Linked DNA regions of Caenorhabditis elegans. The protein of the gene in region 1 interacts with the protein of each later gene in a pairwise test. Each region holds a gene or a part of one and is shown in the gene's direction. Other genes may lie near its edges.

Region 1 (5,910 bases):
GAGCTTCATGTATTTTTGAGCACTATTTTCTGTAGAATTTTTCATTTGAAAGCATCATTTTCATTTTTCCAACATTTTTTCTTTTTCTTCAAATTCTTTTTTCCAACATTTTTTTATTTTCATTTTTCTTGTATTTGTGACAAATATATATAAGAAATTACTACTTTTTTCAATGAAAAATTCGTTTTTGAATGAAAAAATCCTTAAAATGGATTTTTGAAACTTCAAAATGTTTAAAAATTTTCAATTTCTTTCAAATTTGTGATGTTATAAATTTTTACAATTTTTTTGAAACTCCAAAATTTACAAATTTGCAAAAAATTTCATTTTTTCCGAATTTTCCGAGCTTCCGAAATCCATATTTTTGAAATACTTTTTGAAAAAAATTCAAATTTTTAGAAATTCGAATTTTTTAAGAAGGCTTAATGCCCAAAAAAAGTTTAGGCCTAAGCCTAAGCCTAACAAGGGAAGTCTTTGAGGGGGTCCGTAGATTTGGGGTTCTCATGCTAAAATTCCTACAGAAGAGTGTTAGTTATGATCTCTCCAAAAAATTTAGCTGCCCCGGTCAAGTTTCAGCAAAGTTATGACGTTTTGAAATTTCAGTTAAAAACACCATTGAAATCCACTGTCTTACCATGCAATCCACGCAAATCTCAGCCTGCGTGACCACCGAAAATGTGACACCCACCACATTGAGTTGAAAAATGTCTTCGGTGGCCGAGTTGGGAGTGCGCGCGTCTGATAAGATTTAAGCTTTGGTTCGATACCTTCTATTTTTGAAATATTTTTGTAAGTTGAATAAAGTTGTAAAACAACTCATTCAAACATTTTTGCGCATTTTTAAAGTGATTTTATTCTTATTCGGGAACCTAGAATCATTGTCCGCACTTTTTGGAAATTTTTATTTTTTTCATTTTTGCTCAAAATTTCTTAATCAACTCCAAGCAAAAAAATCAAAAAATTTCATTTTTCTAAACAATTATGAAATTGCTATGCTGTTGTTTAGAAATGTATGAAACGTACATTACACAAGTTTTAACTCTCTATTCGCAAGTAAACCGTCGAAATGATCTACATCTCACGAACTTTGTGCAAAATATTTAACCAACTTTGAAGTTGCATAACTTCGTTGAGATAAATTATTTTGAAATATGATCAACTAACAAAATGTTTGTTGAATAACAGTAAACAAAGTTTTAGTTATAAACTTTTTGATACCTTCAGCCACCAAAAAGTTGTGACCGTTTTCCAAAACACAATGTTAATAGAAAAACTAGCCAAATGCCAACCTTGTTTTCTTCTTTGTAGCTGGTATCAAAAAGTTTATAACTATATATATAACTAACACTCTTCTGTAGGAATTTTAGCATGAGAACCCCAAATCTACGGACCCCCTCAAAGACTTCCCTTGTAAGCATAAGCCTAAGCCTATACCTAAGACTAAGCCTAAGCCTAATCCTAAGCCTAACCCTAAGTTTAAGAATTAGCCGACGTCTAAGCCTAAGCCTAAGCCTAAATCTAGGTCTAAGCCTTAGCCTAAGCCTAAACCTAAACCTAAACCTAAGCCTGAAGCCTAAGCCAAAAATTCCAAGTTTTTTGAATTTTTCAAATTTTTGGAAATTTCTAATTTTTGGAGAAATTCAACTAAATAATTTTTTTTAACTTTTACAAGCTTCAGTTTTTACTCAATTTGTACCTTATTTATTGCCTTATTTTCAACGAATTTTAGTTTTTCAGCAAAAAAAATGTCTGCTGGACGAGGCGAGAAGCCGCCGTGCAGTATTTGTGGAGAAGTTGGTAATGGTGTGCATTTTGGAGCAGAAGCCTGTCGGTAAGCTGCTGCCAAATTTTCAAAGATTTCAGCCGAAAAAACGTGCATTTTTTTTTCAAAAATTTCAATAATTTTCAGAGCCTGCGCAGCATTTTTCCGCCGTTCAGTTGCCCTCAACAAATTGTACAGATGCCGTGGAGATGGAAATTGTGATATTCTTTCAAGTAGGCCGTTTTCCGTGAAAACTATCGATTTTTAGCCAAAATTTCAGCTATCAGATGCATGTGCCGAGCTTGTCGATTTGCAAAATGTATGGCAGTTGGGATGAAGCGAGAAGGTGAGTTTTAAGCCAATTTCTGAAATTTTCACCAAAAAATTGTTTAGAAAATTAGAAAAAGTAATCTAAAATTCGAAAATTATTCCTAAAAAATCGAAAAATTTGAATTGCAACAGCTTGTGTAGATTTACGGGAGTCTGTGTAATTTACGGAAATTTTTGTAAATTTACGGGAGTGTTTTGTAGATTTACGAAAGCTTTCATAAACTTACGGAAGCTTGTGTAGATTTACAGAAATGTTTCCTGTAGATTTACGGAAGCTGGTGTAGATTTACGGATGCTTGTGTAGATATGGGATAATTTTTCTTATATTTATAATCTAATTTTATTTTTTCAGCCGTTCAAAAATACCGTGACGCTTACGGAAAACGTGGCTCTGACGTCGAATCGCCGGGCAGCTCATCAGTTTCACTTCCGAATCAAGGCGACGGATTTGGCCCTCCTGGTGGTTTCAACCCGAATTCCACGTTCGACAGTGTCGAGGAATGCGGAATGCCAATTTTGACCATGTTGAGCCAGAATTACGAAAAACTGCAAAGTGTCCGCCGCGTCGTACATCACGATCAGGGCAGCAGTGTGTTTCAGGTACAGTTATCTGAAAAAAAAAATGAAAAAATTTGGAGTTTTTCATGTGAATTTGTACATAAGCTTGTGTAGATTTAGGGAGTTTTTCGTGTAGGTTTACGTGAGTTATTGTAGATTTACGGGAGCTTTTAGTGTAGATTTACGAGAGTTGGTGTGGATTTACGAGAGTTTTTAGTGTAGGTTTACAGGTGTCAGTGTAGATTTACGGGAGTTTTTATGTAGGTTTACGAGAGTTAGTGAAGATTTACGAGAGTATTTAATGTAGGTTTACAGGAGTCAGTGTAGATTTATGGGGGCTTTTGATGTATAGTTACGAAAGTTAGTGTAGATTTACGGAATCTTCTGATGTGAATATACGAGAGTTCGTGTAACTTTACGGGAACTTTTAATGTGGATTTACGAGCGTTTTTAGTGTAGATTTACGAGAGTTTTCAGTGCAGATTTTTTACAGCAGTCCGTGTAGATTTACGTGAGTCAGTGTAGATTTACGGAGCCGTTGATGTAGATTTACAAAAGTTCATGTAGATTTACAGGAGTTTTTGATGTAGATTTACTGAGCTACGTAAAATTCAATTTTTTTTTTCCAGATGCGAACCCCAAAAGCGGTGAGCTACAAAGAGGCGAATATTGTCAGCTCGAAGGAATGTGATCTGGTGGCCGACTGGATTCTCAACTCGTACCCCGGATTCGCAGATTTACACAAAGATCAGAAAGTAGGCCGGAAAGCCTGAAATTTCAGTTTTATCGAAAGAATTCAATATTTTCAGATAATTTTGTTCCGCAATTTTTTCTTGCCATTCGTGATTCTCCAGGGCGGTCATTTTGCGTGTATTCATAGTAAGTTTTTGGTTTTTTTTTGTTGAAAATTTGAAAACTGTTTTTCAATTTACAATTTCAGACCGTAGTGACGTCATAATTCTAGCGTCAGGTGACTACATCGACTGCTCGCACCCGGAGACGTTCTACTACGACCCAGACGGCCGCCAGCTCATGTCTTCAGAGGATGCAGTCAGAATGTTTGCATCGAGTTTCAGTATTTACCGGCGAAATGTCACAGATCCGATGCTCCGGGATAATGTGGACAGTTTTGAGTTTTTCGCGCTTTGCTCATTGGTTTTATTTGATACTGGTAACGTTTTTTTTTTTGGGATAAGTTTAGCTGATAATAAGTATTTTAGGCCTGGAAGGACAATCTGAGGAGTGTATTCGGGTCTCGCGACGAATTCGAGAGGCGATTCAGCGAGAGATACTGTACCACTATCGGAATGTGAGACATATTGAGGACCCGTCGATGAGGCTGGCGAATTTACTGTCTTTGTTGCCAGCGTTGCAGGTGAGTTTTGAAATTGTAAAGGAAAAAAAAATCTAAGCGGCCACAAAAAATTTCAGACCTGTAGCACAAATGTGAGCAAAGTTACGCGTCTTCAAAGTTTTCACCATGCGTCGCGTGTCGCGTCGCGGTCGACGTTGGAACTTTGAAAAGCTGTAACTTTGCTCAAAATGGTCGTAGAGCTATGAAATTTTGGGTGTATGTTTTTGAAATGAGCATTGACCTTTGGCAAAATTTTTGTGCCTTGACGCATTTCTAGTGCTTTGACGCAATTCTAGTGCCTTGACGCATTTCTAGTGCCTTGGCGCAATTCTTGTGCCTTGACTCAATTATAGTGTCTTGACGCATTTCTAGTGCCTTGGCGCAATTCTTGTGCCTTGACGCAATTATAGTGTATTGACGCAATTCTAGTGCCTTGACGCATTTCTAGTGCCTTGACGCATTTCTAGTGCCTTGACGCAATTCTAGTGCCTTGACGCAATTCTTGTGCCTTTACGCATTTCTAGTGTCTTGACGCAATTCTTGTGCCTTGACGCATTTCTAGTGCCTTGACGCAATTCTTGTGCCTTGGCGCAATTCTAGTGACTGGACGCAATTCTAGTGCCTTGACGCAATTCTAGTGCCTTGACGCATTTCTAGTGCCTTGACGCATTTCTAGTGCCTTGACGCATTTCTTGTGCCTTGGCGCAATTCTAGTGCCTTGACGCAGTTCTAGTGCCTTGACGCATTTCTAGTGCCTTGACGCAATTCTTGTGCCTTGGCGCAATTCTAGTGCCTTGACGCAGTTCTAGTGCCTTGACGCAATTCTTGTGCTTTGGCCCAATTCTAGTGCCTTGACGCAGTTCTAGTGCCTTGACTCTATGCCTTGACGCAATTCTAGTTGCCAAACGCGTTAAAATTTACGGATTTCCCTACGGAATTTTCAAATTGAGAAGCTTCGAAGCTTGTGCAAAAAGTCTTTTGATCGGAACATTCCACTGCGCTATACGGGCAAAATTCTCAAAAACTACCAAAAATGCTCAAAATTGTGCAAATTTCAGTTCAATCTGTTTTCAGAGAGCCACCCGCCGATTCCAGGAAGACGTAGAAATTTCACACGTCTTCAATGTCTACTCAGTGGACGCGAAGTTCTACGAAATGTGTAATGGCCGATTCTAATACAGTACTACCTACAGAAAAAAAATGCCAAGAATTTTTTTAAATTGTATATAATCCTGAAAAAAAAGTCAAAAAATGTGCCTGAAACTGTGATCAAAATCTAGTTTTTTATTGTTGTAGAAATTAACTTTGTGATTTGATTTGATTTGTTTTTTTTTTTGCAAATATTTTATTTCTCATAAACGTTATCAAATTTGAATTTTCTTCTGTCTACAATTGCAATTGCTGGTTTTTTCAATCCACTACACGTGAAAAAATCTAAAAATGCCCTCCTAATCGGCGGAATGCACATCATACTGACCAGTGGCACCATAAAAATGCAGGAGAACGAGAACATGTACCCGTAGGCGCAGAAATAGTTAACTGAACGGATACCTGAAAAATTGAAAAATTGTGTCGTTTTTTAGCAAAAAAAAATAGCGGAAAAAATAGCGGAAAAAATTGTTGAAAAATTTTTTTTTTTTTTGAAATTTTTTTTTTAATTTTCCCACCTGCCAGGAGTACTTTCCACTGCCGCATTGTTAGCGGAAATGACAATATAAATTCAGTGACACTTTGCAATAAAATCACAAAAGAATAATTGAGAGACAGGTGCTTTGTAGATGTACACTCTGAAAATTCGGCGGAAATTTCAAAAAAAAAACCCCCAAAAAATCCCACTTTTAAACAAGAACTTATCGATAACTTGCACGATAACCAGCGTGAAATTTGCCAAAATTGCAAAAATCAG
Region 2 (4,796 bases), on another chromosome or scaffold:
TTAAGGAAGTCTATCAAAACTATCAATACTATAGTATACTGTAGTTACAAGGATATTGAAACAGTTAAAGATTTACATCACTAAAACTAATTTCATATCACTTTTGCAGTATCTTGTTTCAACTTAGTATTTATGATTTCTCATTTTTATTATTTAGACTGGTAAGCAGAGAGAAAAAAGCTGGGAATTAGGAAAAAGTAACAACATGAGCAGAGGAAGAAGAAGAGCAACAAGAGCATTAGACAGAATTAGTGATGATGTAGAAGGTACAAGATGAAAAATAGCAAAAAAATAAGTAGAGAATAAAATCAAAACTTTTTCATTTTTCGGTTTTTGGACTACTTTAGAAACTGTAAACAGAGGAAACAGTGGTTTTGTTGGACGTTAAAAACATTTGAATATTTCACATTTAAAATTCCGTTGCAATCAGTTTGAATTTAAAATACATTTAATTTCTAGCTATGTTGAAACTGTGAAATTTTCGGAAAATGCGAAAAAAATGTGACGGATTTTTAAATATTTTATCTAAATCTTCACCGGATAATTTTGGAAATAATACGTTTAGAGGTCGAGCATGATCCCGATTAAAATTAATTAATTGTTAACTGTTTTATGGACTATTTGAAACGTGTTCAATTTGAAAAATGGCATTCATTCTTTCCATCAAACTCATAGTTATTTTTCAGATCTGAAAAAATATCAGAGCCTATTTATCTCGATTGAAAACATTTCTGCCTTTTATAGCTTGATTTTAAGGGTTTGTTGAAACAGTGATATTTTTTTGAAAATAAATGAAAACATTTTCTTGAGTAAGACCTCTCCAGCTATCTTTGGATACTGAATAAATCAGATCTCATACACCAAAAAGCCGATAACTAAAAATATAAATATTATTTCCAGAAGTTTATCACGGAGAATCTTCGATTCCTGACATTAAAATCGAAAGCATTTTCCATTAAAAACTAATATTTTTGCACTCTTCACCTTCTTCCGGCATGTAATCCTATATTACAGACATCCAAGGTAAAAGAGAAAAAACTTGATTTCCTTTTTTCCCTTTTTCTCCAGAAACGTCTTCCAATGTCGTCTTCTTCCTGGACACATTATGCTAATTTATTCGATTTGTGCCATGGTTAATGTATTAGGAAGAAGGAAGAGCATTACGCTATGAACAAAACGCTTTTTTTCGCCACGTGATTTGCGGTTTTGCAGGAGATGGGGGATTCTATTGTTGAAACTAACAAATCCTGAAACTCATAAAATTTTAGTGAATTCATGAATCTGTAAAAATTCTGAATTCTAACAATAATGAAAAGACTTTACAGAGATAAATAAAAACCGAATGAAACATTTAAAATCAGTCAAACAAATGTTTTCTATGAAACAGGAAATTTAATTCTAAAAAAAAAAAAGGATTTTTTTACTCGTACAGTCCAAAGTACTGTAACTGTTCTTAAAATTGACCCCAATTGTAATTTAATATCAATTTGTCCACTATATTTGCTACCTTCTCTTCCAAATCATGAAAGTGACCTCTGACTATATATCACCCCAGTTTGTCACCAACCATCTGGCAAGTAGCGGCAGCCGGCTTATCTGTTATGTCGGAAGATGTGCTTCTTCTCCGACTTGTTAAGATATCTGACACCTAGGATTGTATATTTCCCCCAAATGACCTTCGACAGTACCCGAGAAGTTATAAACAATTTGTGCTCCACCCAAAGTTTGGAATAGAAAATCCTATAGTCACTTTCTGACACTCTCTGACTTTATTCCTCCCAGCTTCCAAATTACAAAATGGAAAAATGCGATATTTGTCACCAGAAGTTTTCCAATAAGGTGAGTGGAGAGTACTAAAGGTTATAGGTAGAAACTAAAGTGCCTACCAGGTTACTTATGGTTTCGTAAACTACTTTCTTGTTTGGCTCTTGAAAAACTGAGACGCAAGACTCAAATCTTTAGAAAATTTCTTTTTAATTATCAATTTACAACATTGTTCAAATCGAAAAGCAACAAAAAACAAGTTACTAAAATCGTAGAAAAATTTTGATTTCCATGTATATTTTTTCAGACAAACTTGAATCGTCATAAGGTGATGCACAGTGGAAAAAAGAAGTTTGAATGTCAGTTCTGCAGAAGACCTTTTTTTCGGAATGATCGGGTTAGTTCTTGTGGTTTTCCGATAAATTTGTATAGAGGATATTTTATTGAAGTTTCTTTATAAAGTTTAGTCGTTTTAGTACAAGCTTTATCTCTAGTGACCAAAAAAATTCACTAAGTAACCTACTTTACGAAAGTTAATTACTTGAAATTATTCCAAACGCTTACAAATAACTCGATTTTTTTGTCGAAACGTTAAAAAAAATGCTAGAAAAAAGCTTCCTAAAAGTTGACTCAATTTATCACTCGTACATCAGATTTAAAGCAGAATGAAACAATCTGTGTTATTGATTTTCAGAAATTGACACAAAAATTTTAATTATGTGTTTCATGATGTTTTTAATAATCACTGAATGCAATTTACGATTACTGGTATCTGTGATTTGCGAATCTGTTCAAAAATAAATGTTTAATGCCAAAGCACTAAAAAATTAAAAGAGAATTAGCACCCAGCATGCCAAATGATGTAGGGGAATTATTTTTCTGTGGATGTGTACTGATACGTTGGCTTTAATTTACTGTTAGCTAGAGAAAATTTAAAAGCTTTGTTTTAAATATTTTTATTGAAAACAAAGTTAAGATTGTTAAAAGTCGTTTACTTTTTCCAGATCTGACCATCAGTTTTTTATATGAAAGTTTCAGTTATGCAAGAAAAGTTGTATTTTCAAATATACTTTGAGAAAGATCGAGCTTTCTAGTAGTATAAAGCATTAAGCATTATTTCTTGAAACATTAAACAGATTAGAAAACAATCTCTTCAACTTTTAATCCAACTCAGATGAAAGAGCACATGATGACCCATATCAAGAAAGGAAATACCTTTGAATGTCCCATCACAGCGTGCAATTCAAAGTTCAACAGCTTCACGAGTTTGCAGTTTCATGTAGATTCGGAGCATATCATAAGAGGATCGTCTCCAGCTAAATGTAAATCTTGCATCAAATGGTTCAACAGTTCCCATCGTCTTCTGCTTCATTTTCATACTGCACACCTGGATCATACGGTGAGTACTTTTTTCTGTGGAAGAATTGAAGCACACACTGTTTTTATTTGGATTTTACATCAGCTACTTGCTTACGAGTAGGTTATAGCTGTGATGTGTTAAGTTTAGCCTACGTTTGATCCGATTCTTGCCGAATGTTGACTAAACTTTTCATTTGAGACTAAAAGTAAAATTTTGAAAACCGTTGGGTCTTGCAATCGAAAATACTTGAAAGCTTCAAAACATTAGAAAAATTGATCTAAAATAGAATTCACTATACTCGAACTTCTCCACATAATTGAATTGAATTTCAAAATACTTTTTCGCTATTTCTACAAAATCTCTACTAAAGTCAGACGTGCACTATGTATAGATTGGATTTTGGTAGATATATATAAATCTCCTTAGTTTTCAGAAATTCTTCTCTTTCAAACCTGCTCCAATTCTTCCAAAATCCACTACTTCAATCTTGAACCCCATCAAGAATCCAGATGATTTTGATAGAATCTTTGACTTTTTCAAAACTGAAATCGCACCACTCTTTGTAAGAAATTTGAAATTGAATTTTCAACTGGTAACATAATATTTTCAGCCGCTTCATAGCACTGTTTCACAAGCCCCATTGCCACAGTGCTCTAGATCTGTAAAATCCGCAAAAGAGTTGTCTCCAACACCATCTACGGAAATCGAAACTCCCGAAGAAGAAGAGTTGGATGGTCCAGAGAGCTGGGTATGTACCTCTGGGAAAAAACGTATTTTGTAAAAAAACAATTATTTCAGTACTGCGATTACTGTAAAATCAGATTCGATGACAAAGTGATGTGGTATTTGCACAGTGGACTCCACTCAGATGATATTCCGTTCAAATGCTCACTTTGTGGAAGCCTATGCGATGGAAAATATGATTTTGCTGCTCATCTCGTTTACGCCAATCATAACTTCTAAAATATAAAAATGTCGATTCTTTTTCAAAGTTATAGCATGGTTCAATTTATTGTTAAGTACCAGCATCAATCTTATCAATAATGTTCCTCATCTTCTGTTGGGATGTTTTAAAATACTTAACTCTGTTCTTGTGTGAATTAATTGTTACATTTGTTTCTGTTAATTGTTTTATATATTTGAAAGTTAGAAATATGATTTTCTCAATTATGGTAGTTGATTTTATTTCTGAAAACTTCAAAAGATTTACTAAAAATTATTGATATGCGAATTTTGCAAAAGTTATGCTGATTATTTTTATCTTCAGGAGAGCAGTTTTAAGGAGGAAATGCCAAGAGTTTTAGATTAAGAAATTTCAAATTTCTACCAACAGATTTTAAAACATTACTCCTGATTTTAGGACAATGAAGATTTTCGCATTTTAAAAGCCTAATTAAAAAAAAACGGCGAGATCAATTTTTCTAGTATAAAATGCTCCTCTGAAGATAATTTTCACAAAGTGTCCAATTAAAAAAGTCATCTCTAGGAGTGATAACACTTTGAATTTCCGAGATTTATTGAAAACTTTATTACATCTCCAACATTAATAATAAAACAAATTAAGAAAAAAGTATTTTACAGTTTTCTAAAGTTTGATGTATTTATAGAGTTTTGCTCTTGAAATATTATTCACAATTTTGCCTCTTTTATAAAAATATCAACAAAAAAATTC
Region 3 (6,048 bases), on another chromosome or scaffold:
GTTACATAATACAGTTTTTTTGGAGGAAAGGTGTAAGGGGGCAGAAGTCATGATTCATTCGAGAGTGAACGCTAAATGAGATGAGGAGAAGGAAAAGCTGGTTTCGAAGAAGGATCAAGGTTACTGTAGTTATCAAGTAACCACTTGATCATAGGTTTTAGTTTGGAGTGTGCTAGTCTAGCAGAATTGCACATAACTTTCGATATCGTTGGGCACATATTTTGACTGTTTTAGAGTCGCCATGTGCATATAGTGCCCGACTTCGTTGACGATCTGTACATCGTGCATCGTAATGTCTATGAGGTACCTGCTGAAAGCATGACAAATTAACTGTGTAGGCAAAAGTTAGGAGCTCTTTTCTTTAGAAATAAGCATATTTGAGAGTTTCTTCAGTTAAAGTTAACCCAATATTTTGTTGTTACTTTTTTGATATCGAACATGGCAAGGTTTTTCACGGTCAGAGATTTTGAAATGTTCCAAAAAATACCAAAGTATGCATCAAAAATATAAGCCACCTTTTTTCAGTTCATTTAAGAATCTATTAGAATTAGAAATCTATGTTTGTCTAGATACCTTGCTTATTTCTCATTGGAAATACAATTATCTTTGTTATATTCAGAATTTCAATAGTTGAGTTTCATGTCTAACTCATCCCAAAATTCTTGTTTATCCAATTTCCCATGCAATCTAGCCACCTCAATGTACCAAGTTACTTGCCTCCTTTCGGAACTCTGCCGCAAATAACTTGGCACCTCGTGGTCCTTTGCAAAGTGCCGTAGAGGCGGTCTAGACACGCCTTTTTCAGGACGGGAGGCGGTGGTTGTAAGGAGGAAGATATACTTGTTACCATTTAGTTTTTCTCATTTCTGTTTTCTTGGCACCCTTTTTGATATTCTTTTCTATATAGTATTGTTTCACTTTCTGTACTTGGGTTTCCAAGATGAATGCTCTCTAAATGTGTCAAACCTTTTGCTCTCTGAAAACTTCCATTTCCAAACCATTTCTCTCATGACATGCCAATCTACCGTACATATACACACAGTAGTAGTACATCATCTCGTTTGGCCAATGCCAATTACAATTACCAAATGTCAAACCATTACATCATGCGAGAAGCCTCACTACCGCACTCTCGAAGTACACAGCTTCTGCTTCATTCTCCTACTTCGTTTTTGCCCCTTTCTAAAAATACCAGTTTTCTGATGCTTCTCCCCCTTATTCTATTGTGTTGTATTGTTATGTCATCACTCTTGTCATTGGGTTGTACAACATCCCTTTTCTCGAGAGAGAGAGAGAGAAATGAAAATGAGACAGAAAGGCAGTTTGACCTGATCATCTCGAAGAAGAATCAGTCAGGCTTATCATCAAAAATTGAATAGATTAAGCTCCTACGGTCATTTGCTAATTAACTTATCCAGCTAGAATCGTGGTAGTCATGATTGTTGATATTTAAGTTCTTATTTTGAATTTTTTCCTTTCTTGCCGTCTCTCTCCTTTTCCATACTTTTGCACATGTTCCAGCTTTTCTCCAGGAAAAAATTATCAGTGCTGGCTCTTATCAGTAAGCAAGTGACCGGCAACTAGAACCCTGCTTTACTATTACTTGAAAGTTTCTAATTGTATAGTTGGTTACGTTTCTTTTTGGAAAAGTATACTCTTGGTAGATTCTACCGTATACTTGTATCCTAAAGTATACTGTACTAAAGATACACTGAACGCCACCTTGTCTATCTCCTCGTAGAAATCTCTCATGGAAACGGATCGTAGACATCTTTGAATCTCTTATTCTCTCTAACTCTCGTTCTTTTTGGATTTTCCCTATATTTTCTGCCGAAATTCGGTCTCCTGAATTTCACTTTCTCTTACCTTTCTCTTTTAATTTTTCCACTTTCCGTTTCAACAATATTATTTTTCGTATTACTTTTTATTTCAGATATCAAATGGATCTCCAAAAACCGCCCAACTTCATGCTGGATTGTGGAATGGCTCCGCATATGATGCCGCCGATTAACTGGGCTGCGGCCGCAATTGCAGTAGCCTCATCGACTTCTGGAGCCACAAATGCCACATCGTCTAACTCGGTTGCCACGTCACAACAATTACAACATCATCCATATGGGACAGCAGCTGGAGGCTATAAGGTTTGTGATACGGTTTTTTTGGTTGTAAATATTGAAACAATGGGCTTTACACTTTGATAAGTGATAAGCTGTCAAAAGGACATCAGGAAGTGGACACAGCCCTTTTTGTAATAATTTTTTAGTAAACAAGGTAATAAATTTAGTAAAAACAAAAAACATGATACTTTGCACTGGTCATCTTGTTATCTTATTTTTTGAAACTTCTAGAGTGGAAGAGCAACAAATTTGAAAACTCTTTTCTTATCAGTTACTTGACATTTGCACTTTTAGAAATGTTCTCAACCTAGAAGTACCAAAAAATTAAAAATTGCTCTGAAACAAATCCATACATTTTCAGCATGCACAACAAGCGATTCCCAAATCAGTGACCCCGTATTCGGATGCAACAAATTGCAAAAAGTCATCAAATCACATCAAGCGACCAATGAACGCTTTTATGGTTTGGTCTCAAATGGAACGGAGAAAGATTTGTGAGCATCAGCCAGATATGCATAATGCAGAAATCAGTAAGCAATTGGGAAGTCGTTGGAGAAGTTTGACTGATGAGGAAAAAGCTCCATTTGTTGCTGAAGCTGAGAGACTCAGAGTTTGTCATATGCAGGTTAGTATGGGAGAATATAGTTTAATTCAATTCAATATTGATACCGAATTTTCTATATAAGTAAGAAATACAGTAATAATTTTTGAACAAGTGTATTTTCACTAAATAATTTCAAAACGTATTGTGCTGATAATAGAGGCTTCATACCAATCAAAAGTTTTCCGTAATCGGCATTTTCGGAAATTCAAAAATACGACAATTATCGAGTTCAAAAAAGTTAAAAAAAAAGAGAATAATTTGAAAAAAAAATTTGAATTTTGAACGAAAAACAAATTTCTACTATAGTCAGTGTAGGAGGTAGGTGAAACAATATAAGCTTTTCATTAAAAACTAAAAATTCCAATATTTTATTTTTGGTGATTTTCCGAATCTCAGAAATTTTTAAATATTCGACGTTTTTGGCAACTGCCAAATTATCAAATTTTAGAATATTCAAATAGTAGCTTACCTCTGTGCCACACAGGAAATACTGTAACCGGATTTTTCGAATAATTGTATTGTAATTTTAAATTTTTTCAGGAATATCCAGACTACAAATACAAGCCACGCAAGAAGCCAAAGAAGAATCCAGATGGAACACTTCAGCAGCCAGCTCAACCCCAAGCTCCACAACAGCAACAGGCCCCACCACGTGGAGCATCACCACAGGCTCGTCAACGAAAACGTCCAAACACAGATCAACAGTCAGAAACACAACAATTCCAAAACTTTAAATCAGTGAAAGTGGAGCAAGATTGGATGGGAAATGCTCATATGAGTCATGCACAAAAGATGCCATTTCATCCATCGTATCCATCACCTTCCGAGTTTGGACATGCTCCGTTGACACCTGAATCTGGATTTTATGATGACTATTTTACACAGCAACATCATCAACAGCATTTTGCATCACAACATCATAATTCGGCAGGAAGTCCCCTCAGAATGGTTAGTTTTTATAGATCACGAAATGCTTGGAAAATTCAATATTTTCAGACGAATCTTGGTATGGACATGGGAATGCCACCACAAATGATGGGGCATAATTCGGGATTTGGAGCTGGTAATCATCCTTTCTACTTGCACACTTCACCACCATCAGTTGATCAGGTACGGGTTGTCTCTTTTGCATGAGATTTTGTTTGAAGCACTTTTTGTTTGGGAGTACGGTAGGATGTAGTGGCTAAAAATTTAGAAAATTGCCAAATTTTATTTTCTGAAAGGTGGGGAATTTTATCTTAAAGAAAATAATTAATCACTCAAAATACTTTATATTTGTCAAAATTTTCAATCAAAGTTTTGCAAATTATCAAATTTCCGAAGAAATTTAACTTTATGAGAAATTGTTCGAGCCCTTAGAATTTATAGAAACACTTACTTGTGATTCAATTTTTACTTAGGTTTAGTACTTAAAACCCGTTGACTGTAAATTTTAAAAAAAGTTCAAAAATTTTTGAATTTTTCTGAAGTGGATTAAGTAGTTTCTAATACATTGTCGATATTTCATCTTTTATATTGAAAAACATTTAAATCATAAAATTCTTAGTACTGGCCATTGGATTTTGAAAATTTATATTATTAGTCCTTTTAGCGTAAATCCTACCGTACTCCATTTTCCACTACAATCCCTTCCCAGCATCCATGCTTAACATCCTAATAACCGCTTGTTTTCCTTCAGATACCTAACCCAATGATTCAGAATCATAATCTTTATAACATGTACCACTTCGCACCATCACCAGCACCAACTTCAACACCACCAGCACAATATCCTCATGAAATGTTCAAAACTCATGAGTTTCAGGACGACATGCGTAGTCTATCGTCTGGATCTTCGGGATACGCCGACTGTAGTGCTTCTGAACAATCAACGTCATCACCAAACTCGGCGGGAGTCGTCACAATGGCTACGGCCGCTACGACTACAACACATTTGGATGACCTGGAGCAGATTTGTCCAACTGTAACCACAGGCGAGCTGGTCAATTATCCATGGAGCGATGCATTGGGAATTGATATTAATTTTTCTTGAATATTTCAGACAAGTTTTTTTTTGAAAACTTCTGAAAGTTCGGGTAGTAAGTAGATCGCTACGTCCAAATGTTTTTTTTCACTGTTTCTTCTGAAAGCCCAACATTTTCTGCTCCTACCTCAATTCTAGCCTCTCCCCTGAAACAATTCTCTCTTTATCTCTCTCCAACAATTTTCGAGTGTCCCTTTAGTCCGGTCTTAGTACCTTTTAATCCCCAGCATTTTCTAGTTATTTACCACCTTTTTCTGTATTTTTCTCTTTGTTTTCCAGTATTTCCTCAACAAATCCAAGCGATTGTATTCTTTCATTTCTTGAAACCCTAAGAGTATTTCTACAAATCCAAAAAGTAATTCACTAATTTCAAATTGAAAGTATTCTTCTACAAAAGTATCGTCCCCATTTCTTTACCCATTTTTATCCTCTCCCAGCTTTACCGAGCCAGTTTTCATTCGTTCTTTCAACTTTCATCGATTACCCAATTCGCCGTTGTACTTGAAAAAAAAAATTTCTGAGATTTCAAGCACGAAATTATGATTGTATATGTTGAACACTTCCCCCCATCCCCTGCCCTCTACAATATGCCAAATGTAGCTACCCTTTTTCCCAAACCTGAAGAAATATTTATTCTCTTGTTCATCTCTAAATATCTCTTATCCTTTTTCACTCATCTTTCCAAATTTTCAGTATTGAATGAATTTCTTCCTCTTGATTTCATTTATTATTGATTGATTTATGTTTGTCTCCTTTTTCTGAGCAATAAAAATCATTTAAAAAATTAACTTGTTTTTGATTTCAAAATACATAGATTTGTGGAAATAATATACGTTTAATTAATTTTTTCTGTTCTGTAAATTAAAATTCAGGTAAATACCTAGCAATTTTCTACTATTAATTAGTTATTGGCAGCTGCGGCAAGTGTGTGACACAAATTGAAAAAACTTCCCTAAATAATGTCTCGTAAACAGTCTCGTAAAATATGTATGACATATTACAATTTAACATAACAGTTCAATCCTGGCCTGAAATCAATTTTTGTGCTGGTAGAACAATTGCTCCGTGAATACTGCAATAACCGAGCAGTCGGGAAGCCGCTTTTCTGGAACCTCTTGTTTTTTTTTGCAATGTCATTCTCGGAATTTTGGCACTTTTCTGAAACCTGCTTTAAAAAGTCACACCCTGTTTTTGGCTCCAACAGCTTTGAAAAAAAAACAACCTTCAAATAAATAGTGCATTCTATCATCCGTCCTTCACAACCTCAACTTGTCGGCATGTTTCTTTTTCTCTTTTTTTCTTTA
Region 4 (7,579 bases), on another chromosome or scaffold:
TGAGATTATATCTCGATTATACAAATCACTTGCTCCGGGTTTTTTTCTCTAGATTTCCATCGGTTTTGGGACTGCACTGGAGATTTTTGGATGAACATGTGAAAATTTTTTAAATAATGCACAGGCCGAACAGTCACACTTTGAAAATAAATTGATGTGATCTATGCAGATAGTTGCAAATTTCAAAAAACTCTACCCCTGAACACTGTCATTCTGCCATGCCATAATTTAGTTCAGTCGGATGAATGACCTTTCGTTGGCCAATTGGATGCGAAACACTGGACGGCACCGAATCGGCACGGCAAGTGGTACTGACAAGCGACAACAAAGACGGATAGACCATCAGTTAAATCAAGATAAGAATTGCTTGTGAACTTTTTCAGATATCGCATTAGGTCGAGAAGTTAATCAAATCATTGCTTTTTGAAGACATCACTGAAAGTGCCAATATTTTAGTAATTGATATTTACACAAGGGACCCCACTGAACTCATCAATTTTAAAATGTGATTTCCAGTTGATGTAAGCAACCAAGAAAAAGGCATATTACTTCAGGTTTTTTGCACTTTTATTTTCCAATCTCACAAATGTGGGCGTATGATGAGCGGCACACTCACGCATCCAAAAGTTTGCCGGATTCATAAAGTAGTATAGAAGTGTCTCACGAGCGTGGAGGGTGGCGCTGGCCCGAAAAAAAAATACGCTGAGACTGTATTGGAAAAGTTTAATCACGTATTTCGCTCGACTCGTCATTTATTTGAGCCTTAGTTTGTGTCTCGCCGTTTTTGGTTTTCCGCCTCTCCCTCATTCCCCCCGGTCTATTCCGAATTTGCCGCGACCCATCACAGGTCACGAACTTTAGTGCCCGCACGCCGCGTTTTGTATCTGCCTGCGCATCTACACGCTGACATACTATTTGTTTGATCCGCGCGGAACTGCCACAAACAACAACAATCTGCGTCCGGCGAAGACGTCGTCACCATATACCCATCTATTGCATCCAACTCATCTCTTTCTTGTATTTAATTCCTTTTTCACACACCCACACACACACACACCACACCACAGGTTGCAAACCATTGTATAATTTTCTGAAAAGCACTGTAACCAATTAGAAAACGATTTTTCAAAAGTGGAGCAGTGCTACATATATGATACCAAAATAATCAAATTTTGTATTAAAACTTTTAAAAAGTCAAAAAAAATCGTTTGAAATGTTTTTTTTACTGACAGTCAAAAAGTGGAAATTTTTAGAGTTTATGCCTCGAACAAAAACTGAGATTTTTCCAATTTCCAATTCCAGTTTGACACACATAGTGCAACTCCAATTGCTCATTATTTTATTAGTTTATTCTTACAACCATCACCCTTTTCCCAGATGTATTTCGTACCATGATGTGTGTATGTGTGTGTGTTAAAAGGTCATTTCAAGCTCTTCGTGAAAGGCACCCTGCTCAGTTTGTGCCCTGTTATGATCAATATAAATGTGTACTTTATTCCAGGGCAACGAAACGAGTAAACACCGAGAAAAGGAAGCATTCTGGATATTCCAAACTGGGGCTGATGATGACAACAACAGTTCAAAAAAATTGCTGGCGGCTTGACCAGGTGAGTGACCAGTTAGATTTGTTCAGCGACAGGCGTTTTCAGTCGGTGGTTTGAGTTTGCACAACTGTTTTCTTGTCCTTTGCGTGAGCCAAGGGGTTTGTGCTGAGTTACCCTCTATCTATTTGTCAGAATACGATGTGATGATCAAAACTTTAACATCATGCATTTTCTTGAGATCCATAAACCCCCCCCCCCCCCCCTCTCGTGTGCTTCTCTGTTTCTCGGTTTGTTCTCCTATTCACCCCGTTCGTTTCAGTGACGTGTCGTCGTTTGTTTCTGCCTGCCAAATATGGCTACGGGGGGGAATATGAATTAAATTGACTTGGTATCTATCATTCCATTTTTATTTTCTGGGAGATGTCAAGAAATTTTGGAGACGAGCGGTTTTTAAAATTAATGTAGTTTTTTTTGTTGTGTTCTCACATTTTAGTTTTCTAATCGGGGAAATGTTGGAGTAAATTGTAATTGATAGGTACACATTTACTTATCAATGGTTCACAGTTTCAGTTAATTATCAGTATTCATATGCGTTTTTATCTTTTGTATAATTTTAACATTCTACATTTTGCAACCAAAAAGCTCTCTATGTTTCTCCTTTACGGGCGGAAAGTAGTGCTGGCTTGTACCATTGCCAATCAGCTCTTTGATTAAAAAACCAACATATCAGTTGACAGTACCATTTTGCCCCTGCTCGACTTCAATGGGCCGCGCCAGATGAGTCAGCGACCTTTGCACACGAGCCCGGACAGTGCTAGGCGCCGGGGCATGACCAATGCGCGAAAGTTTTGTTGCGTAACCGCATGTTTATTGTCCGCTTGCCAATCGTTTTCACTTTTAGTGATACTTGCAGCTCGCCCTCGTCGTTATATTTTTTTTCTGACCGTCGACGCTTGCTTGCCTTCTCCGAAAAGTTTTGATATAAAACTAGCAGTATTTTTCGTTCTGTGGCTCATAGTTTCTGACGTCTTCCTCTTTATGACTTTACGCGGAAGAAAAGGGCAACATCTAAAACCACCCAGTAATATAAAGTGCGCGGTTTCGAGGGAACAGTTTCGAGAGAAAGATTAAGTAGATGAAGGCAGAGAGAACCAACATTTGCAAATATAGTACTAGGTTGGAGGAGTGCCTCGGCGCTGCGATGCCTGTCTACAAGTTTGCACTTGGCTGGTCAGTGGCGTTACGTGCCACTCTCTGTACTGCGCGAGACGTGGCCAAACTGATGCGAAGCACAATATATACACGCCCCGAAGGGTCATTGTTTGCCGTTTGCCCCCCCCCCCCTTTGCGGAAAGGCCTTTCGTACTGTACTCTTGATGTGTGCTTCCTTCCGGCCGGGCACCCGCCACCGTGGTTGTCACAACTCGGATGGCTCCCACTTCCTCCACTGTCGAAACCGTTCGGACCGCCCATTTCCATTTTGGCTCACGCCGGGCTCTCGCACACATACTTTCCACACTTCTACTGTCAGTGGTGGCAACTGGAAGCACTCCATAGTTGACTAATGACCTTTCTAACCTTGTTCCCTGTACTAGAGCTATCAATTGTGTATCATTTCTCTTTTACACTATTTCATGTTTGAATTTTCGAACAGGGGGTCAATCTCTGAGGCAGGAAGGGTGGAGCACCAGTAACGCACTTTACTCGTTTTGCCTTGGCGCGTTCATTGTTCCATTTCACAATTTTTCTCCTAATTTTCTAGACCACTTCAGTTTTTAGAAGCGCTAGATGTTGTTTCATGAAGTGACCAGTCTTGCGTGTTCAGTTTTTTTCTTGGCGTAAATGCCCACTCTTCTTCTTTTCTCCTAGCTGCCCCTTCTTCACTTTCTCCAAATCAAGGTTCAGCTATAGAAAGTAAAATCGCCTTTCACTCATCCTGGACAAGATTGACTACGAGCTTTTGCAGCTTCTAAGACTTCTTCGAGAATGGGGGGGGGGGGGGGGGGGGCGCGACGTGAAAATGAAGGGCATTCATGGATCCCGTAGTAAATATGTGATATCATCTATACCAATTTTCTGGATATCGAACTAATCATTGACGATTGCAAAATTTCGAAAAATTTGTAGGAGAGAAACGATTTCATCTGACCGATCCGAGACTGGCACCCCTTTGTTCTAGGCCCTCTCCCGATTGCCATAGAGATGTCCATCCATCACCTTTCCTGACAACCCCAGATGGTGGCGTATGTGTATGTGTGTGTTTTTTGACTAATTGGAAACGAAAAGCCGACTCCAGACTTGTAATTTTGCTCCAGCAATGTTTTTTTTCCAGATCTTTTCAAATTGACGAATCTGCCTTTAAACGTTTCGTGATAGACATAGAAATTGACATCCGGTCAAATAATTAGATGAAAAAACCTTCCATATTGGGGGCAAAACGTCCAAGTGAGAGTGGATCGGCGACTGGCGCCAAATTGCTGCTGCCGACGCAGTTACCATACTTGGATGTCGGACAAGGCGGATTTCGAGAGTTGTTTTTATGTACACACGCCTTTCACCTCTTTGCCCCTTGTGATCTTTTTTGCATTCGTTAGACGCTTCTTTCATTTTCGTTCCTCATCACCATCATCATCCACTACTAATGGTTCAGGGCACGGCGTATGCGCGCGCGTGCCTCACACCATCGGATCGCGGATGTTTTGGCGGGGTTGGCTGTTCATTTAGGGGGGAGGCGGCCGATTGAAATGAAGAAGATGTTGTGGATGTAGAAGTAGGAGGAGATGGAGGAGGCAAAGGCCTTCTCCCTCGCGGTTCTTCGTGGCAGGCAGCCTGACCCCGTTCCTTACTGAACCGCCCCCCCCCCCCCCCTCTCACTTCCACCCGACGCCGCCATCGGAATTTTAGACTACCAGTAGAATATGGATAGCGGAAGGTGTGAAACTTCAGACTGCGATTCTCTAGATTCACGCTTACTGTATTTCTACCTTACTACTAGTCTTGTTACGATTACCTTCCTAATTTTAACGTTTGATATGTTTTCACCTTCGGCTTCTATACAATTCCCATCATCTTGAAATAGGTATTATCAGCATGTAAGCATGCCAAACAAATATTTTTGTTGTCCAGTGGTGCTCGACCGTTCCAGGATCGGTATTATGCAATTTTTCGCTGAACCAAGCATATACATACTGATAAGAAAAATGTTTGTTCTGTCGGCCACTGATTACTAGACACTTGAATTCTGACCGCCATAAATGGCGAATCGTACGCGAGAAGTGCTGACGCCGTCTTGCGCCGATGTCCAATAGGACCTTGCACTTTGCCGATGTTGCAACAGTAATAGTTTCCATCAAGGTTATGCGGACTAGTGCCACGCGATTGGGTCAAGCCGTTGGCTTCCGCCTTTCTTATCAAAATCTTCGCCCTCAATTACCTAATTTTGTGGTTTTTTTTTTCTCTCCCGAATCCATCAATCCGGTGTCAATCCGTGTCTTCCGCGCTAGGTCATGCGGGCGGCGACGGCGCGGCCCTTTTTTCGGTAATCGTCCTGGCATCCCACACTTTCCATTGGCCCGGATATAATAACTTTTTGGAGACCCCCTTTCTGGTGCCTATTTGCAAAACTTGCTTCATTTTTGGTCACTTTTACTCGAACTTTCTCTTCGACGATGACCCCCTCGCCCGCCACAAAAACAAAAAGTGAAACTTGGAACGGTACTCGTTATACCTCATGCCTTTACTTTCTCGCGCCACTTCCTCGCAGTATTCCATGGATGGAAAAGCGGTCAAAAAAGTATTATGATCAGGCTGGCGGAAGATAGATGGAAGGAATTGTGGGTCAACGAAGTCAAAACACCATTACTCGATAAAAGTCGCCGCATGTTGCGGAATGTGTGCCATCGAAACTGGTTACTGTATTTCTTTTCCGAGAATTTTGCTTTGCCCCGCTATCAACTTTTTGTTCTATCTTCTTTAGAAATTCCGAATTAAATAATGATAATCATATACTTCTGTATTCTTTTTAACCCTTCTTTAGTCTGTTTTTGAAATTTCGACCAACCACCTCAACAAAATTTACCAAAATCAAAAAAAAAAGTGAATGTGTCAATCTCGTTTCAACGCATGTTTCTCGCCAATTTCCGTACAGTCAGTTGTGCCTCCTGCCGGTCACTCATCCTCTATCTCTTCGCCACTCTCGTTCTCGCGCACCTCATCCAAATAACAGTATTCGGTGTCTTAGTTGGCAGCCGGTTGGTGCCTGCCACGATAGGTTATCAGTTCAAATGGCACGCGCCTCTCTCGACTGCCCCATCAGCTGATTTGTCCGCCCCAAGCAACTGATAGTGCCTGGGGCGGAGAGATAGATGAGAAAAAATCGTCTGATTCTAGGTGTCTGAACCTCGCTCGCTATCCAACAGCAGGTCCGCTCGTTTTTTTTGTCACATCTCTCTTCGTTGGTCATATCTCTTTTTCATCATCTGTCTAGTTTGAGTTCAATTTCTAATTCATCAGAGGTCATTTGGTTATTATTATTCTATTGCTCCCATCGCTATTTTTTTTTGCTCATTTGATTTAACACATCAATTTTCCTTTTCAGACAATGCTGGGTCTTGAAAAGCCTGGATCATCAGACATTTCGTCTTCTTCCACTGATACTTCCGCCATTTCTCCGATTAGCGTGAGCAGTATGCCACTATCACCGGACAAGGAAAAGAAAAAGGTAAGTACTTTGAGATAACTGTTTGGACTGTCCGAAGGGCAAACATAGTTTTGAAAGAGAACGTTTGCATAGTTGACCGGTGTTTGTTCAGACGGAAAATTTAGGGCTTCCTTCCCACACGAATTTCAAAACAACCTGACACCGGGAAACACCGCCTTAACTGGCGATTTTGGGCCGATAATAATAGTTTTTTTTCAGATCTCATTTGTCCGATACAATCCAGACATTCCACAAATTGTCACATCTTTCAAAGGATATCAAAAACTTATGTATCAAGGCTACCGATATAATATTTATCAGGTATCATAGACCATCATTCAAGTGGTGACTTTCATCACGAGTTGTTTTTTTTCAGATTGCTCCAGAACGTAACTTCAAGTCTTGGAGATGCGTTTGCGCTAAGAAAATGCATGATGGGCAGTGGTGCAAATGCCGAGCTGAAACAACCATGGATAATAAAAACGCATGCACGAAAGGATCACACAATCACCCTCCAAGACACCATGTCGCTGAGATCGAATTTATCAAGGTACGTGGCGAGATTACACAGTCACAACTGTCTAGGTTAAGAGCTAGTGCCCTTTGCAATTGGCGCAGTGCCAGATCAGAGCACCGATATCATAAGGTTGAATTTGCCAGCTGACTCTTTTTGTTCCAATTGGTTCCTAGGCTTGGCGCCTTCAAGTTCGAATTTCATAACGTCATGTGGAACCTCTAGCTTTTGAGAGTGTCTAAGGGAATTGTGTGTACGTGCAAAAAAGATAACTTTTTTTTATTTCGTAACCCTTAAAAATTCACTTCATGGCACCAGTAGATGGAAAAAAAAGATCGTCGGCCCTTTTCGAGTGTGTCAAAAATAGTTTGTGTATACAAGTTAAAAGTGCAACGAGATGCGCTACTTTCGGCGCTGGGTGGCGCCGCCGAGTGCCTAGGTCAGTTGCGATGTTGGTCAGGTCAAATAAAACAATCTGAGCGTGGCACGGTTCGAAACATCGGCCACTCATGCGCGTGCCGCAATTTTGCCCCCCTCCTCCCTCCCATGTTGATGAACCGCGAATAATTCGCAAACAGATCCGCGCATTGCCAAGGTCAAGCCATGGATGGCAGGCACGCGGCAGCGCGCGCGGGGACAGGCTGGGCCATACCACCCGACTCGTTAACCTAGATGCGCCAATTTTCCCAAATCTATTGCGTCGCTGCCATTCAAATTGACGGTACAAACTTTTTGCGAATTCTTCCGAATTGGGTCATCGGAAGGGTCAATTCTGACGCAATGTAAAGTGCATCGAATTTCAAATCCTGATTCGACCTTTGT

The links.
Region 2: the proteins of nhr-70 (region 1) and ehn-3 interact in a two-hybrid assay, tested with the Caenorhabditis elegans proteins (one large-scale study listed by BioGRID).
Region 3: the proteins of nhr-70 (region 1) and sem-2 interact in a two-hybrid assay, tested with the Caenorhabditis elegans proteins (one large-scale study listed by BioGRID).
Region 4: the proteins of nhr-70 (region 1) and peb-1 interact in a two-hybrid assay, tested with the Caenorhabditis elegans proteins (one large-scale study listed by BioGRID).

The regions. Positions count from the first base shown.
Region 1 is NC_003283.11:18,614,864-18,620,773, forward strand, and holds nhr-70 (Nuclear Hormone Receptor family), read left to right. Parts: upstream 1-1,723; 5' UTR 1,724-1,745; coding exon 1,746-1,831; intron 1,832-1,909; coding exon 1,910-1,995; intron 1,996-2,042; coding exon 2,043-2,108; intron 2,109-2,444; coding exon 2,445-2,692; intron 2,693-3,279; coding exon 3,280-3,405; intron 3,406-3,459; coding exon 3,460-3,529; intron 3,530-3,590; coding exon 3,591-3,821; intron 3,822-3,870; coding exon 3,871-4,025; intron 4,026-5,078; coding exon 5,079-5,180; 3' UTR 5,181-5,349; downstream 5,350-5,910. Other genes in the region: Y69H2.1 (Serpentine Receptor, class V), read right to left, coding at 5,350-5,555, 5,672-5,791, 5,841-5,910.
Region 2 is NC_003282.8:5,416,197-5,420,992, reverse strand, and holds ehn-3 (Zinc finger protein ehn-3), read left to right. Parts: upstream 1-1,770; 5' UTR 1,771-1,797; coding exon 1,798-1,839; intron 1,840-2,071; coding exon 2,072-2,161; intron 2,162-2,530; exon of another isoform or gene 2,531-2,551; intron 2,552-2,824; exon of another isoform or gene 2,825-2,845; intron 2,846-2,938; coding exon 2,939-3,163; intron 3,164-3,506; exon of another isoform or gene 3,507-3,527; intron 3,528-3,557; coding exon 3,558-3,686; intron 3,687-3,734; coding exon 3,735-3,872; intron 3,873-3,922; coding exon 3,923-4,087; 3' UTR 4,088-4,294; downstream 4,295-4,796. UniProt on the Caenorhabditis elegans protein: Together with the zinc finger protein ztf-16, plays a role in gonadogenesis, specifically in somatic gonad precursor cell development. This is possibly by regulating tra-1 gene expression.
Region 3 is NC_003279.8:5,204,014-5,210,061, reverse strand, and holds sem-2 (Transcription factor sem-2), read left to right. Parts: upstream 1-1,933; 5' UTR 1,934-1,940; coding exon 1,941-2,141; intron 2,142-2,478; coding exon 2,479-2,742; intron 2,743-3,261; coding exon 3,262-3,669; intron 3,670-3,717; coding exon 3,718-3,831; intron 3,832-4,525; coding exon 4,526-4,753; 3' UTR 4,754-5,532; downstream 5,533-6,048. UniProt on the Caenorhabditis elegans protein: Probable transcription factor required for embryogenesis, vulval development and cell fate specification of the postembryonic mesoderm (also known as the M lineage).
Region 4 is NC_003284.9:2,209,489-2,217,067, forward strand, and holds the start of peb-1 (FLYWCH-type zinc finger-containing protein peb-1), read left to right. Parts: upstream 1-1,562; coding exon 1,563-1,607; intron 1,608-2,753; exon of another isoform or gene 2,754-3,044; intron 3,045-3,969; exon of another isoform or gene 3,970-4,092; intron 4,093-4,147; exon of another isoform or gene 4,148-4,529; intron 4,530-4,746; exon of another isoform or gene 4,747-5,094; intron 5,095-5,317; exon of another isoform or gene 5,318-5,503; intron 5,504-5,741; exon of another isoform or gene 5,742-5,958; intron 5,959-6,141; coding exon 6,142-6,264; intron 6,265-6,331; exon of another isoform or gene 6,332-6,453; intron 6,454-6,462; coding exon 6,463-6,564; intron 6,565-6,619; coding exon 6,620-6,793; intron 6,794-7,150; exon of another isoform or gene 7,151-7,413; intron 7,414-7,579. UniProt on the Caenorhabditis elegans protein: Putative transcription factor. Binds to specific sequence motif 5'-[TC][AGT]TGCC[GA][AT]-3' in regulatory elements of target genes such as myosin myo-2. May modulate gene expression, perhaps acting in opposition to transcription factor pha-4.